Arabidopsis thaliana: one gene and its partner. The protein of the gene in region 1 interacts with the protein of each later gene in a pairwise test. Each region holds a gene or a part of one and is shown on either strand. Other genes may lie near its edges.

Region 1 (7,279 bases):
AAAAGAAACCATCAAAGGTAGCCCTCTTCCGAAGAAAAATATTTGACTTTTATCAACCTTATAAACTAACAATCGAAAACTCATCCCAACACAATCTTCTACCTTCTTCTCTAATCCATATAGATTCCACACTTCAGCCAAAAAAAAAAAACGAGGATGGAGGTCCCAAAATCCTCATTGCTAATGATAATTTTTGTGGTAGCTTCATGTTTCTTGCATGTCAAGGCTTGGCATGGTCAGACTTATTGTGGTGGCAATGCGACTCCCCGATGCCAGCTCCGGTACATCGACTGTCCTGAAGAGTGCCCTACCGAAATGTTCCCCAACTCTCAGAACAAAATTTGTTGGGTTGATTGCTTTAAACCCCTTTGCGAGGCCGTGTGTCGGGGTAATTATTTAACCACCAATTTCTTTTTGTAATTGATGATATACCAATGCAGTTTAAAATTAGAATTAATAGAATTTCATCATTTTGATTAATTTTAGATTTTGAAAATATGTTTTAAGATTTGGATATGATCTTTTGTAGCGGTAAAACCCAACTGCGAATCCTATGGATCAATTTGTCTAGATCCGAGGTTCATAGGTGGTGATGGAATTGTGTTCTACTTCCATGGAAAGAGCAATGAACATTTTAGCATTGTCTCGGACCCTGACTTTCAGATCAATGCTAGGTTCACTGGTCATAGACCTGCTGGCCGCACTAGAGACTTTACATGGATCCAAGCTCTCGGCTTCCTCTTTAACTCCCACAAATTCTCCCTTGAGACCACCAAAGTCGCCACTTGGGACAGCAACCTTGATCACCTCAAGTTCACTATCGACGGCCAAGATTTAATTATCCCTCAAGAAACTTTATCCACTTGGTAATCATAGAAACTCAAATTTTACCCTATCATTTTTGTAGGTTGCGATTGTTTCAACTTTTAAACGTCATCTTTGTCTATTCGTTTAGATTTTCATGTAAACACTCATTATTTTAATGCATATTATCAGGTACTCATCCGACAAAGACATCAAGATTGAAAGGTTGACAGAGAAGAACAGTGTGATCGTGACTATCAAAGACAAAGCTGAGATCATGGTCAACGTGGTTCCAGTGACCAAAGAAGATGATAGAATCCACAACTACAAATTACCTGTAGATGACTGTTTTGCCCATTTTGAGGTCCAGTTCAAGTTTATTAATCTGTCCCCAAAAGTCGATGGAATCTTGGGACGCACTTATAGACCCGATTTTAAGAATCCGGCTAAACCAGGAGTCGTAATGCCAGTGGTGGGAGGTGAAGATAGCTTTAGGACATCTTCTCTGCTCTCTCATGTTTGCAAAACTTGTTTGTTCTCTGAAGATCCCGCCGTTGCGAGTGGCTCTGTCAAGCCCAAAAGTACATACGCATTGTTAGATTGCAGCCGTGGTGCGTCTTCCGGCTATGGACTCGTCTGCAGAAAGTAGTTACCAATACAAACTCAGTTTGCTAAGAATTACAGATATTAAAAGTATATTGTTATGTTTTGTGTACGTATAAAATTTATATGTTTGTCAAAATAAAACAGAGGAATAAGGTAATTAAGAACCAAATTCTAAAGAAAGTAATTGTAACTCAGTTATTTACATGTACCAGATTATCTAATCCTTAAGAAAACCATTATATTTTTGTTGTGCTCCAAATACGCAGTAATCATTTAGAGCCTAGCGTAAATTGATAAAAAGGTTATCTTCTATTTGAACACTGACTTCAAAACCCAACTTAATTAAGACATCAAAAGATGTTAAGCATCACACTCTTGGATCCGGCTATTAATATATACAATGTACTTTTGTTGTTTTAAGATTTCCAAAAGTCAAATTAATAAAATGAGCAGCTTATTGCAGCAAGTTACAATGCTCCTAATATAAGGACCGATAAGTGTGGATCACGCTCGTGTGGACGTAACTTCTAAAGACTTTTTCTTTATTTTTGAAGTTTCAAGTTTTTAAAGTCATATACATTTCAACTTAATGCATGTGTGGGTGATGCCCAGATAAGGCACACAAACCCGGCAACTCCCGATCTCAACGTGAAGTAAAATAGTTTATTTTAAATAAATTTACAGAGTGGCGTCTACAAATTCACAATCAACACGTTTCTTTTGACACCAGTCGACACATAATAAAACAGGAAGAATAAACTAGACATGAAGATCTCAAACACCTCTTCGTTAATGCTGTTTTTTCTTGCGGCCATGTTATGTTTCTTGCGAGCCAAGTCACAAGGAGTTTACTGCAGCAACCCTTAGGAACGATGCTTCCAAAAGTACATACTGTGTCCGCAAGAATGTCCCACCACCGGTGCCGCAAACTCTATGAACAGAGTCTGTTACGTAGAGTACTCTGCAACTCCGAGTGTCGCAGTAAGCGAAAATGCCTTTGAACTTTTTGTATTAAGCTTTTTACCAAATTTTGGGTGTTAAGTTATTCAATTCAGAACTTAAACCGTTTTGTGCAAATGGTATCAACACATAACCGGTGTAAAAATATTGGTAACCATTTATTTTTCTCTCCGTTGAGAAACATTACACATTTGTGGGCCGTCAAGTTGGATCAAACTAGTCCCCAGTCGAGCCTTTTTCCTTTGTGGAATCCTAAGCCTCACCGAATCGGTAAAAGCCCCATATAAATCCCTATTATTTACATCAATTGCCACTCTACTATCTCCAAGTTTTTTTTTTACTTTTTTCACCCATCAGTAACTTCACATCTCTCTCATTGCCTAAACTCGAATGTTTGACCCGAAACACCAAACCCACTCGAGCTGTACCCGAAACTCTGAGTCAACCCGCTCGAGTTCTGCTGCCGATTCACATGCCCACTCTCCGCCTCACCTTCCGCCGCTCGAAACGCATCGTAACCACCGTAACTCGGTAATCCATTGGTCGGAGCTAGCTCTGGAATTGGATTAAGACCTGCCAAGCTAGCCCAATCAAAGTTCCCGTTAAGAATCGTCCTGAGCGAATTCATCCGAGGAAGATTAAAAGACTGGTCTTTTATCTCCGGGAACGAATCAAGAACGTCGTCAAGCTGTGATGAAGAAGACGATGACGACCCATTCGTGCTATGCTCTTCACGACAAGCTTGAACAGGAGTAACAGCTTGTCTCTGAGATCCAGATGTTTTCTTGTAAATTCGACACAACACCCAATCATCCAACTGTAACAAAGAAGCAAACTTTATCAGATTTTGATTTCAATTTTAACGAATTTGGATCTGGGAAAGTTTCAGTCTTTATTTACCTTGGAGCTTCCATGGCTACGAGAATGTTCTATTAAGCGATACTCGTGCATAATCCAGTTGGTTTTAGTGCCTTTGGGAGCTTTTCCGGCGTAAAAGACCAGAGCTTTTTTAATCCCGACACGACGACCATCCGCCGTGATAATTTTGTCAGTACCCGTTGCTTTCCAATAACCCGACCCGGCTACTCTATTGGGTCTTGACCCGTTCGGATATTTCCGATCTCTTGGGCTAAAGAAATACCATTCCTTCTCTCCAAACAAAGCCTTACCTAAATAGTTACAATTATACTCCCTTTAGTTTTAACATTTTCTCAAATTAAACCCAAAAGTATGACAATTGAAAATAACACCCTACAAATGTGAAACATGTTTGCTTACTTGGCAAATCCCAAGGATCGAACTTGTAGAGATCGATGTCTCCGATGACCTGGAGAGAGAAATGATAGCCTGCAACTTTCCGACATAGATACTGAACAAGAAGCTCTTCATCTGTCGGATAAAATCTAAAACCTGGTGGCAAACTCAACTGGGCTAACGGATCTTTCTCTCTAACACCCATTTATACTCTTCTACTTCGATTCCTCAGCAACCAAAAAAAAAAAGATTTCAAGTTTCGAACTCTAAAAACCCAAATTATATGTTTTTGTTTTTATGTTCGTCGATCTTTTGGACAATATAGTAAGTAGTTGGTTTATATAGGCTACGGAAAAGCCAAAGGTTCTTCAAGGATAAGTACGGTCGTCCTTGTCTTACTGTTCTAAAATCTAATTACGATTTTCTTTGTGGACCCGTTTAACCATTTAGATACTGCCACGTCTATGAACTGGCCGACCTTATCGATGTGTTGTACAATATTTTCCAGCGATATAAATGTGCAAAAAACACGAGGAAAATTTTCTCATGAGTAAGAAATTTGTGTACTACGATTATGAGAAAAGTCCGCTGAGTGATTGCAGTAATTTATTTTTTCTTATTCCATCGTGACATGTAAAATGTCTAAATATTTACTAGAAATATTCTAATTATAGTAAGTTTTTTTCCACTGAGAAAGCAATGAAGCTTTATTATTTCTATATTCGACTATATTGGTGCCGTTCGGGTGCATGAACCGTCAGGAAAAGCTAAAGTTTATCGACACGTGTTAAGCCAGTTGTCCTTTCTTCTAGAATTTTGATCAAAAGCCTAACAACGATGTGTATCAAAATGCTCCAAATAATTAGAGGCCAGTTCGATATTTAGTTTGTCCTGAAGCACTCGATCACTACATAGATTGGAGTCAGAAAAAGAAAAGAAGAAGCACTAACTATTTGACAGATAAATCTATTGAGTAAAACAAATGGCACTAAGACGTTTTTATGAACAAAAGAGTATTAATCAGACACGCGTGGAATGCATTTTCCCGTCCGTGTGAATTGTACACGTGTTGGGAGAGTTAGGCAAGACTTCAATATAAAAGAATCAAAAGAGACAAAAAAGAAGAAAAAGTAATAATAAAAACAGCAGAAAATATTGAACAAGTGTACAAACTACAAAGTTCTAACTAAAATAAATTGAAAAGATACGTTAACATAAGACACGTATATACAGAACACTAATAGTATGATTTTAATATTTTTTAGTTAAAGATAATAACATTTGAGAATATATGATCGTTTGTATTATACCATTAAGATTATCTCACAAATGTAGCAAGTAGTCTCTTTGTTTTTGATTAAAGGATAAATTTCAAGTTTTGTCAGAACAACTAAATTCGATTTTTATATATATTTCAATGATTATCTCATAAAAGACTTATTTCATATATTTTAGTTTATATTTAAACAAAAAGAGGTTAATTAGGGTTTCGTTCACTCAAGAAATACTAGAAATGGCCTAAGAAGTTGACAAGTGAATATTTGGACCATGCTGAACAGGTCAGAGAAGCCTTTTTATATATAAACATGTGACGCGATTCAAAGAACTCGATTCTTCTTCTTCTTGATAATTCTTTTTTTTTTGTTCTTAATTATTATTATTCTCTACAAATCGTTTTCAATTGCTTTTCGGATTTTTAGATTTTAGTGAACGTGGAGAATTCTTGTTCACAGAGAGATGGACATGCCCACCCATTTCTTTTGTAAGATAATAATTTCTGAATATCAGCAAAGATACGACAAGTTTGGTTCAACGATTCGCATAACTGCAAAATGTGTTGATAAGAAACTCATCAATCGCTATTCAATTAGCGTATAATGCTCTTATGATCCTGACAAAAAAATAAATTAAGAGATATGGTTTTGATGACAATGAGGTAAAGAACAGATTGCCATAATCTAAACTTGTTCAAAAAATTCTTCAATGAATTTATTTTATTTTAATAACATTTTTCTACTTTTTTTTCAAAAATACATTTTAATTGACAGAAATTTACCACTTTTGCGATAAATATCGTTGGTGACGTTTAAATCATTTTAATATTTGTTTAGAGAATAAATAGGTAGACTTCTATTTAATGAGTTCTAAACGTATATTATATATGGTCTTTTCTAAAGTATGTTTTTCTCTGCCAAGTTACATGTTGGTTAAAGCTTTAAAAGAGATAAGGTGATCACGAAGGTTTACCAAAAAGAAAAAGAGAGAAAACAAAAACAAAAGGCATTATGCTTTCTAAATGCATAGTCTATATATGCACTCTACATTTGTACATAATTAATTCGACAATACTTATAGTAGATAAGCAAAATCTGGACTACATAATTAATTCGACACTCATAATTGATTTAGTGATGACTATTCCATTCTGAATTTTAGACTCTTCTAAAATTTTGTAGATGGTAGCACCTAATCTATATAGAGATCGATGATTCTTAGACCCTTTTTTACCAATGAAATGTTTAAATAGTTCCCACTTCAACACAATTCTTCCAAAAATGACAAACTTCAACATATATATATATATATATATATATATATATATATATATATATATATAGTTTTAAATGAACTTAAAAACATAAATTGGAAAATGGTTATTAATTAAGAAGACAATTCTAAGTGTAAAATAGCGATCTGTAGCTGCAATTGTTTTCTGAAATTGTTGAATAATTATTTTGTTCGTATATATGATGAATAGCGTACAACATACAAAACAATCAGCTGGTTTATATATTAAAAATAAAATGAGAAACTAAGAAGGCCGCAATGGGTACCAGCGACTAATTAATTAACTTTTTAAGTCCTCTTCCTAATTTTCTTTAAACAGAAAAATTAAAATAATTTTATTATCTCATTTATGTAAATTAGAGTTTTATGTTTTCTCAAACGCTTGATGTCTTGTTTTTTTTGTTCTTTAATTTTATTTATAACACATAAAAACGTTACTTTGCAAGAAACTACAAAAAAAATTGGCTGAATTTTTTAGGGTATTGTCTGGAAACCAAGTTAAATCATTGTTCCCCTAACACCACTTATTGCTTGAAGTAATCTCAAATAATGGGTTATGTGATCATATCATTTGGATAGGAGGCTTGGAAGCCCATAGACCATAGTACGTTTACTATATATGCACCACAAATTCGTCAGCAGCTCGAATACAATTTCTTCATTTGGTTTTTGGTTTATATCAGAATATGACTTTTTAAAAGTGATCAGATAAAACCGCGTGAGCTAAAAATGTCTTTAGATGTACGAATTAATGAAGACTGGAATGATAACGTGTAAAGTGTGTTGGACTGGGAGCGCATACCAATAAGCAAACATGAATTTGGCTTTGAACTTTCCTTTTATACACACACAGAACATGTTCTTCACATTATACTACTTAGATTCTGATATAACTTGGACCACTTCAGCCGGACCAAATCAATCTCTCAAACTATAATTGATTTAACAAAAAACAATAATGCAATAAGAACTTATTGCTGTTATACATTCGTTCTTAATTACTCAAAAAAGTTCTAAAATCAAAAACAAATAAAAAGTGGAGATTATAACTAAGTAATCAGCCAGATTTGGTCTTACCAATCCTCGT
Region 2 (6,745 bases), 880 kb from region 1:
ATTAGGGTTTGGGGCGCTAATGCTCAGAGAAGGTTACTTTCTCATCCCCTTGTTCTTTTCAACACTCAATCTTGTTTTCACTTTTCTAAATTTAAGTGCTTTTAAGCTGCATCATCTCAATTATGATTTGAGTCGGCTTTGAGTACTAAACTCTTACTATTTGGCCATTTTAGGAGAATGCTTAATGGTCCCTTCTTAAATGCGGATTTAGATCATTAAAATTGTATTTTTTTTTGCTTCTCCTCCATTCGATTACTTTCTCTTGGCTTCAGTTTTGGTTTTTATTTGTTTGTCTTTGTCTTAAGAGAATTTTAGTTAATACCTATTATTGGTTTAGCGTTTGGATTCTGCTTCTAGACTAGTGCATTCCTAATTATGAGCTCCCTTAGGTTGTTCTGAGATGAGAGTTTTGTTTTTTAACTATTAAGATTGATGTATTCATTCATATTTTGCTTTTTGCTGAAGCTTATTTTATTGATACACTACACTACCATGTAATTACTCTGTAAGCTTGGCACGATTTGATATAGTGTGAGGTTGGTGTTTTGCCTTGCAGATTGACCAAAGCTCATATCTTGGTATCTGGAATTAAGGGGACTGTTGCTGAGGTAGCTGTAACTCTATAATTCATGCTGAGATGTCATGCTTTTCAATTAGTTTAATCTAATGGTATCTTACTGCATTTCCTGGCTTTGTTTCCATTTGGTGGGTTAGTTTTGCAAGAACATTGTGCTGGCAGGAGTTGGTTCAGTGACTTTAATGGATGATCGTTTAGCAAACATGGAGGCCTTGAACGCTAACTTTTTGATTCCGCCTGATGAAAATGTTTACAGTGGCAAAACTGTGGCTGAGATTTGTAGTGATTCACTCAAGGATTTCAACCCTATGGTCCGTGTTTCCGTAGAGAAAGGTTTCCCTCTAATACCTCTCCGTTAATGTTTTAAAAACATACCGACTATTATCTGATCAATTTTTCAAATCTTTCAGGTGATTTGTCAATGCTTGGCACTGATTTTTTTGAGCAGTTTGATGTCGTAGTTATAGGCTATGGTTCTCGTGCTACCAAAGTATTTATACCACCTTTTACATATTTACCACTTGCTTTCATCTTTAGTTGCTCCATACATCTCTTCATGACGTTGTCTGTTTATTTTTTGCAGAAATATGTCAATGAAAAATGTCGGAAGTTAAAGAAACGTGTCGCATTCTATACAGTCGATTGTAGAGACTCATGTGGTGAAATCTTTGTGGACCTCCAAGATTACAAGTACACAAAGGTACTTGCATGATTTGTTGTTGCATTTCTTCTGTTGATTATGTGCTGTTTTGACATTTCATCTGGCTTATTTTTAAATTTCTATAATTCCATTGAACATTTAAACTTCATTAACAACTTCTAATTTGCACAATGTCCTTTGTATTGTTTTCCTGATAATTTTCTTTCCACAGAAAAAGCTTGAAGAGATGGTGGAATGCGAACTAAATTTTCCAAGTTTTCAGGTACAATTTAACACTAGTTCTCGCTACTAATAATCCTTACATCTGCATAGGATTTTGTGATAAATTAGATTTGTTTATTGCCACAGGAAGCTATATCGGTACCATGGAAACCGATTCCTCGGAGAACAGCAAAGCTCTACTTTGCTATGAGAGGTAGTTACTAGTTACTACAGCTGATTTCTTTATTACTTTCCACAAATGAAAATTGAGATCCCAAGGCAGATACATACAACAAAAATTCTTCACTAATCTTTGGCATTCTCATGAAATTTTCAGTAATAGAAGTGTTTGAAGAGAGTGAAGGGCGTAAACATGGAGAATGTTCGCTACTCGATCTTGCCAGAGTCTTGGAAATCAAAAAGCAACTCTGTGAGGCAAACGTAAGTGTGTTTAGTTGTTTTATCATTATTTAGAAATGTCACTGCCAGGTTCACTGAATAACTGAATATTGTCTCTCAGTCTGTGAGCGAGAGCCATATACCAGATATTCTCTTGGAGAGACTTATCACTGGTACTACTGAATTCCCGCCAGTTTGTGCCATTGTGGGAGGAATATTAGCACAGGTTCTCTCTCTCTCACTTTCACTCTCTTATCGCATTCGAATCTTCTCACTAGAAACTTGTAATTTGACAAGAAAGATTTTTTGATGTGGCAGGAGGTGATCAAAGCAGTATCAGGCAAAGGAGACCCGTTGAAAAACTTCTTCTACTATGATGGTGAAGATGGGAAAGGTGTGATGGAAGACATTTCCGACTCTTTTACCTCTTAAACAACCAGTGGGCCTTGATTTAGTTTAAACTCTATAATCTCTGAGATTCCATGTATATCTCAATCGTTTGTTTTTTGCCTTCACATTATGAACAAATTTAATGCAGAATTTAGTGGAGGATCAGTTGTGATTTTCCTTCGGTAAAATCATTTTCAGTTATTGACATTTGAATTGTTCAATTTCAAATTTCAAATATTATAATTCAATTCAAAGACTAGCTAAGTTTTTAAAAGTAATTAGTGAGAGATCTCACAGTGATATAAACCACATTCATTTTAATTCATAGCAAAGTAAATGGTAAGAAATGAAAATGGAAGAAAGAGAGGAGAGTAGTTCACACGAACATCTGAAGGAGAAGTTGAGAGAGCTTGAGGAGGAATGGACAGCCATGAAAACAGGTAAAAACTCATCTGCGGTTTCATGGATTACCGTGGAAGATGCTCTTGAGTATGTCGAAAACTCTCCCAGAAACCTAATGCTCTCTCTCCAACACAAACCAAAGGCAGAGATGATACAAGAAATATCGCCATTAAGGAGAAAACTCTTTCACGACTCTGATGATGATGATCAAACTAAGAAGACGACATTGCTTTCTCATTCATCTTGTTGGTCTTCGAATGTGACGAGTTCGAGTGATACCACGAAAGCAAAGAAGAAGACAACGATTAGAAGATTTGTTTCTGTTACAATGGTGCTGCTTTTGTCATGGGTTTTAGTTGTGTTGATGAACCACTTTGATCATCTCTCCATGAATACACAAATCATTACTTTGGTTCCTACTTGATATTTTTATTTATTTTGGTTTGAGAATGTTCATCAATCTCAATAAATAAAAAAAGTTTAGTTTTGTATTATTACCTCTCGCCTTCTCTTTTAATTCATTGAACCTCTTCAACTTTGGCTGTAACTATGTTGGTTAAAACAGTATAAGTAATGTATGTATTTATGGTTTTAGGAAAATCTTACAAAATAATACTCTATCATTGGATGAAGAAGCAAAAACTACACCCCTCTACATCTTTTCTATTCATAAACTTTTTTGGGGAAAGAACTACATTGGTGGTGATTAGGTGCATCGGTGACACTAATGTTGAAAATATGTTTTGTGTAAAATTAGTATGGTTAAAGCTAATCATTTAGTTGAGCAAAAAAAGATGCTAATCATTTAAATAGAAAATGGACTCAAACAAAAGAAGGCCACACATTCAATTGTTACATCTTTATTGGGTTTTCATTTTTGGAAGCTATTTTTATGAATTTGCAGTGTTTTGTTGCCCAAAAGAAAAAAAGCATAATTCCAAGTATATCTTTCATTTTGAATCCATCAGTCATATGTTTTACTTGAATCAACTATTTGTTGGGTTTTACGAAGTTACTTGTTAAGAAGATTCAAAATATATATAATTAGACTATCAAAGGAACAAAAGAATGTAATTGGGTCATAACTTTTTCCGAAGCTTACGTGACTTGGGAGAAAATCAAACCCATTAGTTTCACCCTTAATCAAACTAATCACAAATTTTGAACTTTGCAAAGAAGGTAAAATAATAATCAGCAAAAAGATTAATAAAATGACAAAAGTATCTCTTTAAAAGATTAATAAAGAAATAAAGAAATGACATAAGCTCTCACCGACCGACGTCTTGTCTTTTTTATTCTTAAGGTCGGTGCCATGTCGACGCCTTCAAGCTTAGAATCTCGCCACGTGTGGGATAAACTAACCGAACCCAATCGAACCAGACAGACCAAAGACAGACCAGACCGGACTAGTTGTATGTCGGCATCAGCGTTCTAGTACGACGTTAATTAAAAAAATAAAAATAAAATATTATTTATGATATTCCACCAATAAGAGCCAATGAAAAGTGTGTGAACCAACCAACTTCTGTAGCAAACCGTACCATTTCTCTCTTAGATACCTTTACCTTCCTTCTATAAATTAGGTTCTTCCTTTCACATTTCTTTGTCTTCTTCTTCTACATAAAATTGATTCGCCTCGAAATTTACACAGACTTGTCGCTCTCTCTTTCTCTCTTATTTCACAGAGCCCCTAAACATTTCCAAAAATCTTGCAAAGGAAGAAAAACAATGGACAAATTTTGGACTTTCCTCACTGCTCTTCATTCAGGCGCTGGGTAATTATTCTTAATCTTAATTTTCCTTCCATTATGTTTCCAAAATTAGTTACTTTTTGATTTCCTCTGTTTCGATTTCTAATCCAAACCGTAATCGATTTGTTGGTAATGTATATGCAGGCCTATCGTGATGTTACTTTATCCATTGTAAGTTTCTCTCTTGTTAAACCCTTTAACAAAAGAAAAAGTTTCTTTCTGGTTCGATCTCTCTACTTTTTGTTGAAGATTAAAAACAAAAATCTGTGAATATTTACTAATTATGTTTTTGATTACAGGTACGCATCGGTGATAGCAATGGAGAGCACAACAAAAGTGGACGATGAACAGTGGCTTGCGTATTGGATAATATATTCGTTCCTCTCACTCACGGAACTGATTCTGCAATCGCTTATTGAGTGGATTCCGATTTGGTATACGGTGAAACTTGTGTTCGTGGCTTGGCTAGTTCTTCCTCAGTTTCAAGGCGCAGCTTTTATCTACAACCGTGTTGTTAGAGAACAGTTCAAGAAACACGGCGTCCTCCGCTCCACCCACTCCAAGCCCACCAAGCCCAACATCCTCCACTCCATTTTCCCCCACCGGGTAAATTTTTTATCTTTTTGGTTTTGAGATTCATAAAGCAAAAAAAAAAAGTAAAAGTAACCATTAGTTTTAGTATTCTTTGGTGGGTCAAAGAACGAATCTTTGTTTATAAAGATTAATAATGCATTGAATATAGTCCTAGGAAACGTAAGAGTGTGCCTAATTCTCTAACGTAGCGACCATGAGCGTATAACAAGTGTTTTGTATACTTTTGTTAATTCTTTAATTCGTTTTTAAATTAATTGTGAATTTTAAAATGTGATATAGGAGGGACACGAGGCTCACAGTCACTGAATCAGAAGGGTGGAGCAGACAGAAGAAGCCTGACTAGTATTATTGTAATGGTCTTGGTGGTGGTCCCATCATGTCCCTGTCTAATCTACTTTTTACTTTATTTTTATTTATCACAAAAAATGGGTTTAGGAATGTTGATGATGATGACTGATGAGGTGTGTAATCGTTTTTAAATTAGAAAATGGCTTCTTCTGCTTGTATGATTGTATCGCTAATCTTCCACGCGTATTTCTTTAATGTCAACGCTAATAATTTCCAATTGTGTCCCTTCTTGAACTTATCATACATATTTTGATGACGCAAATATCTCACCGAATCAAACCCATAACAGTATATCCCTTTTTTTGGGGCCTAAAACCAAAATTGAAGTGAGGCTTACAGAGTTAGAACGCAATTTAAACCAGTGACTAATGTTTTGATTGGTTCTCCCTCTGCCACCTGCAAACGCTGCGTTTGCGGGTGGTAGCGGTTGTTAGCGTTTGACACTAATCATAGAAACCGCTAGATACCGTTTTGGACCGCTTGAAATCGCCAGATTTCAAAAGCTTCTTCCCGTAAGCGTTTGCGGTTGCGGGCGGTAGCGGTTAGGTTAATTTTTTTTTTTAATTAATTAAAATAATTATATCTTCCATCCAAACCCTATATATTTTATTCTTATCAGAAAACCCTAATCAATATATTGAAACCCTATTTTCTCAATTATGGCATCTACCCAAACTAACGAAAATCAAAATCAAAATCAAAAATCAAACGTAAGTATGATCTATCCTTTCATCCATTCATTAGCTAGTGTAATTCTCTGAGTATTTCATGGCATCGTCATTTTTTTTATTTTGTATTTTTTTGAGTTTTTTTATTGAATATATGTTTTGATTTGTTTTCTCGATTAGAAAATTATTTGGTCAGACGAGATGACCCGTTTCTTGTTAGAACTTTATCATATGTATAGAGGCAATCCGGAAAATCCACGAGTTCAACGTTATTTACAGTTTATTACACTACTTGATGCAATTTTTGGTGATGTACCAAATGCATAAAGTACTAAGCTTTTTCTTACAAAATTTATTTATTTTTGAATTTAATGTTTTATTTATGGTTTTAATTATTAAGCATGTTTAATTTTCTAATATTATCAATTTATCATAATAATATATTGTATTTTTTCTTTTAAAATTAATATATTATATTTATTTTGGTTATTTTTTATTTAATTACTATCGCACTCGCTGATTTACCAGTCATAAAACTTCCGTAAACGCACCCATTATCAAACGCTCAACCAGTCGTTCAAAACGCTTGATAATGCTTGAAACCGCAACCGCCTGTTTCCGCAAACTCCCGCAACCGCAACCGCAATTGATTAATGATTTATGTTACACGGTTTTGAAGCAAGCATGAATTATATCACATGTATAATATTCTTACACATACTCTTAGATTGAAGTAAAGAACTAGTACCAATCA

The links.
Region 2: the proteins of RD26 (region 1) and HVA22D interact in a two-hybrid assay, tested with the Arabidopsis thaliana proteins (one large-scale study listed by BioGRID).

The regions. Positions count from the first base shown.
Region 1 is NC_003075.7:13,705,185-13,712,463, forward strand, and holds RD26 (NAC (No Apical Meristem) domain transcriptional regulator superfamily protein), read right to left. Parts: upstream 3,830-7,279; coding exon 3,621-3,829; exon of another isoform or gene 3,563-3,620; coding exon 3,271-3,562; intron 3,188-3,270; coding exon 2,744-3,187; 3' UTR 2,716-2,743; downstream 1-2,715. Other genes in the region: AT4G27400 (Late embryogenesis abundant (LEA) protein-like protein), read left to right, coding at 157-388, 530-866, 997-1,453; AT4G27415 (uncharacterized protein), read left to right, coding at 5,368-5,502; ABCG9 (ABC-2 type transporter family protein), read right to left, coding at 7,250-7,279. UniProt on the Arabidopsis thaliana protein: Transcription factors that bind specifically to the 5'-CATGTG-3' motif and with bipartite regions with 5'-CGTr-3' and 5'-YACG-3' as cores.
Region 2 is NC_003075.7:12,823,702-12,830,446, forward strand, and holds HVA22D (HVA22 homologue D), read left to right. Parts: upstream 1-4,154; 5' UTR 4,155-4,358; coding exon 4,359-4,405; intron 4,406-4,525; coding exon 4,526-4,552; exon of another isoform or gene 4,553-4,680; coding exon 4,681-4,987; intron 4,988-5,139; coding exon of another isoform or gene 5,140-5,159; intron 5,160-5,254; coding exon 5,255-5,281; coding exon of another isoform or gene 5,282-5,318; 3' UTR 5,319-5,602; downstream 5,603-6,745. Other genes in the region: SAE1A (SUMO-activating enzyme 1A), read left to right, coding at 1-32, 557-608, 715-910, 988-1,067, 1,161-1,277, 1,450-1,500, 1,587-1,653, 1,777-1,880 and 2 more; AT4G24950 (uncharacterized protein), read left to right, coding at 2,581-3,054.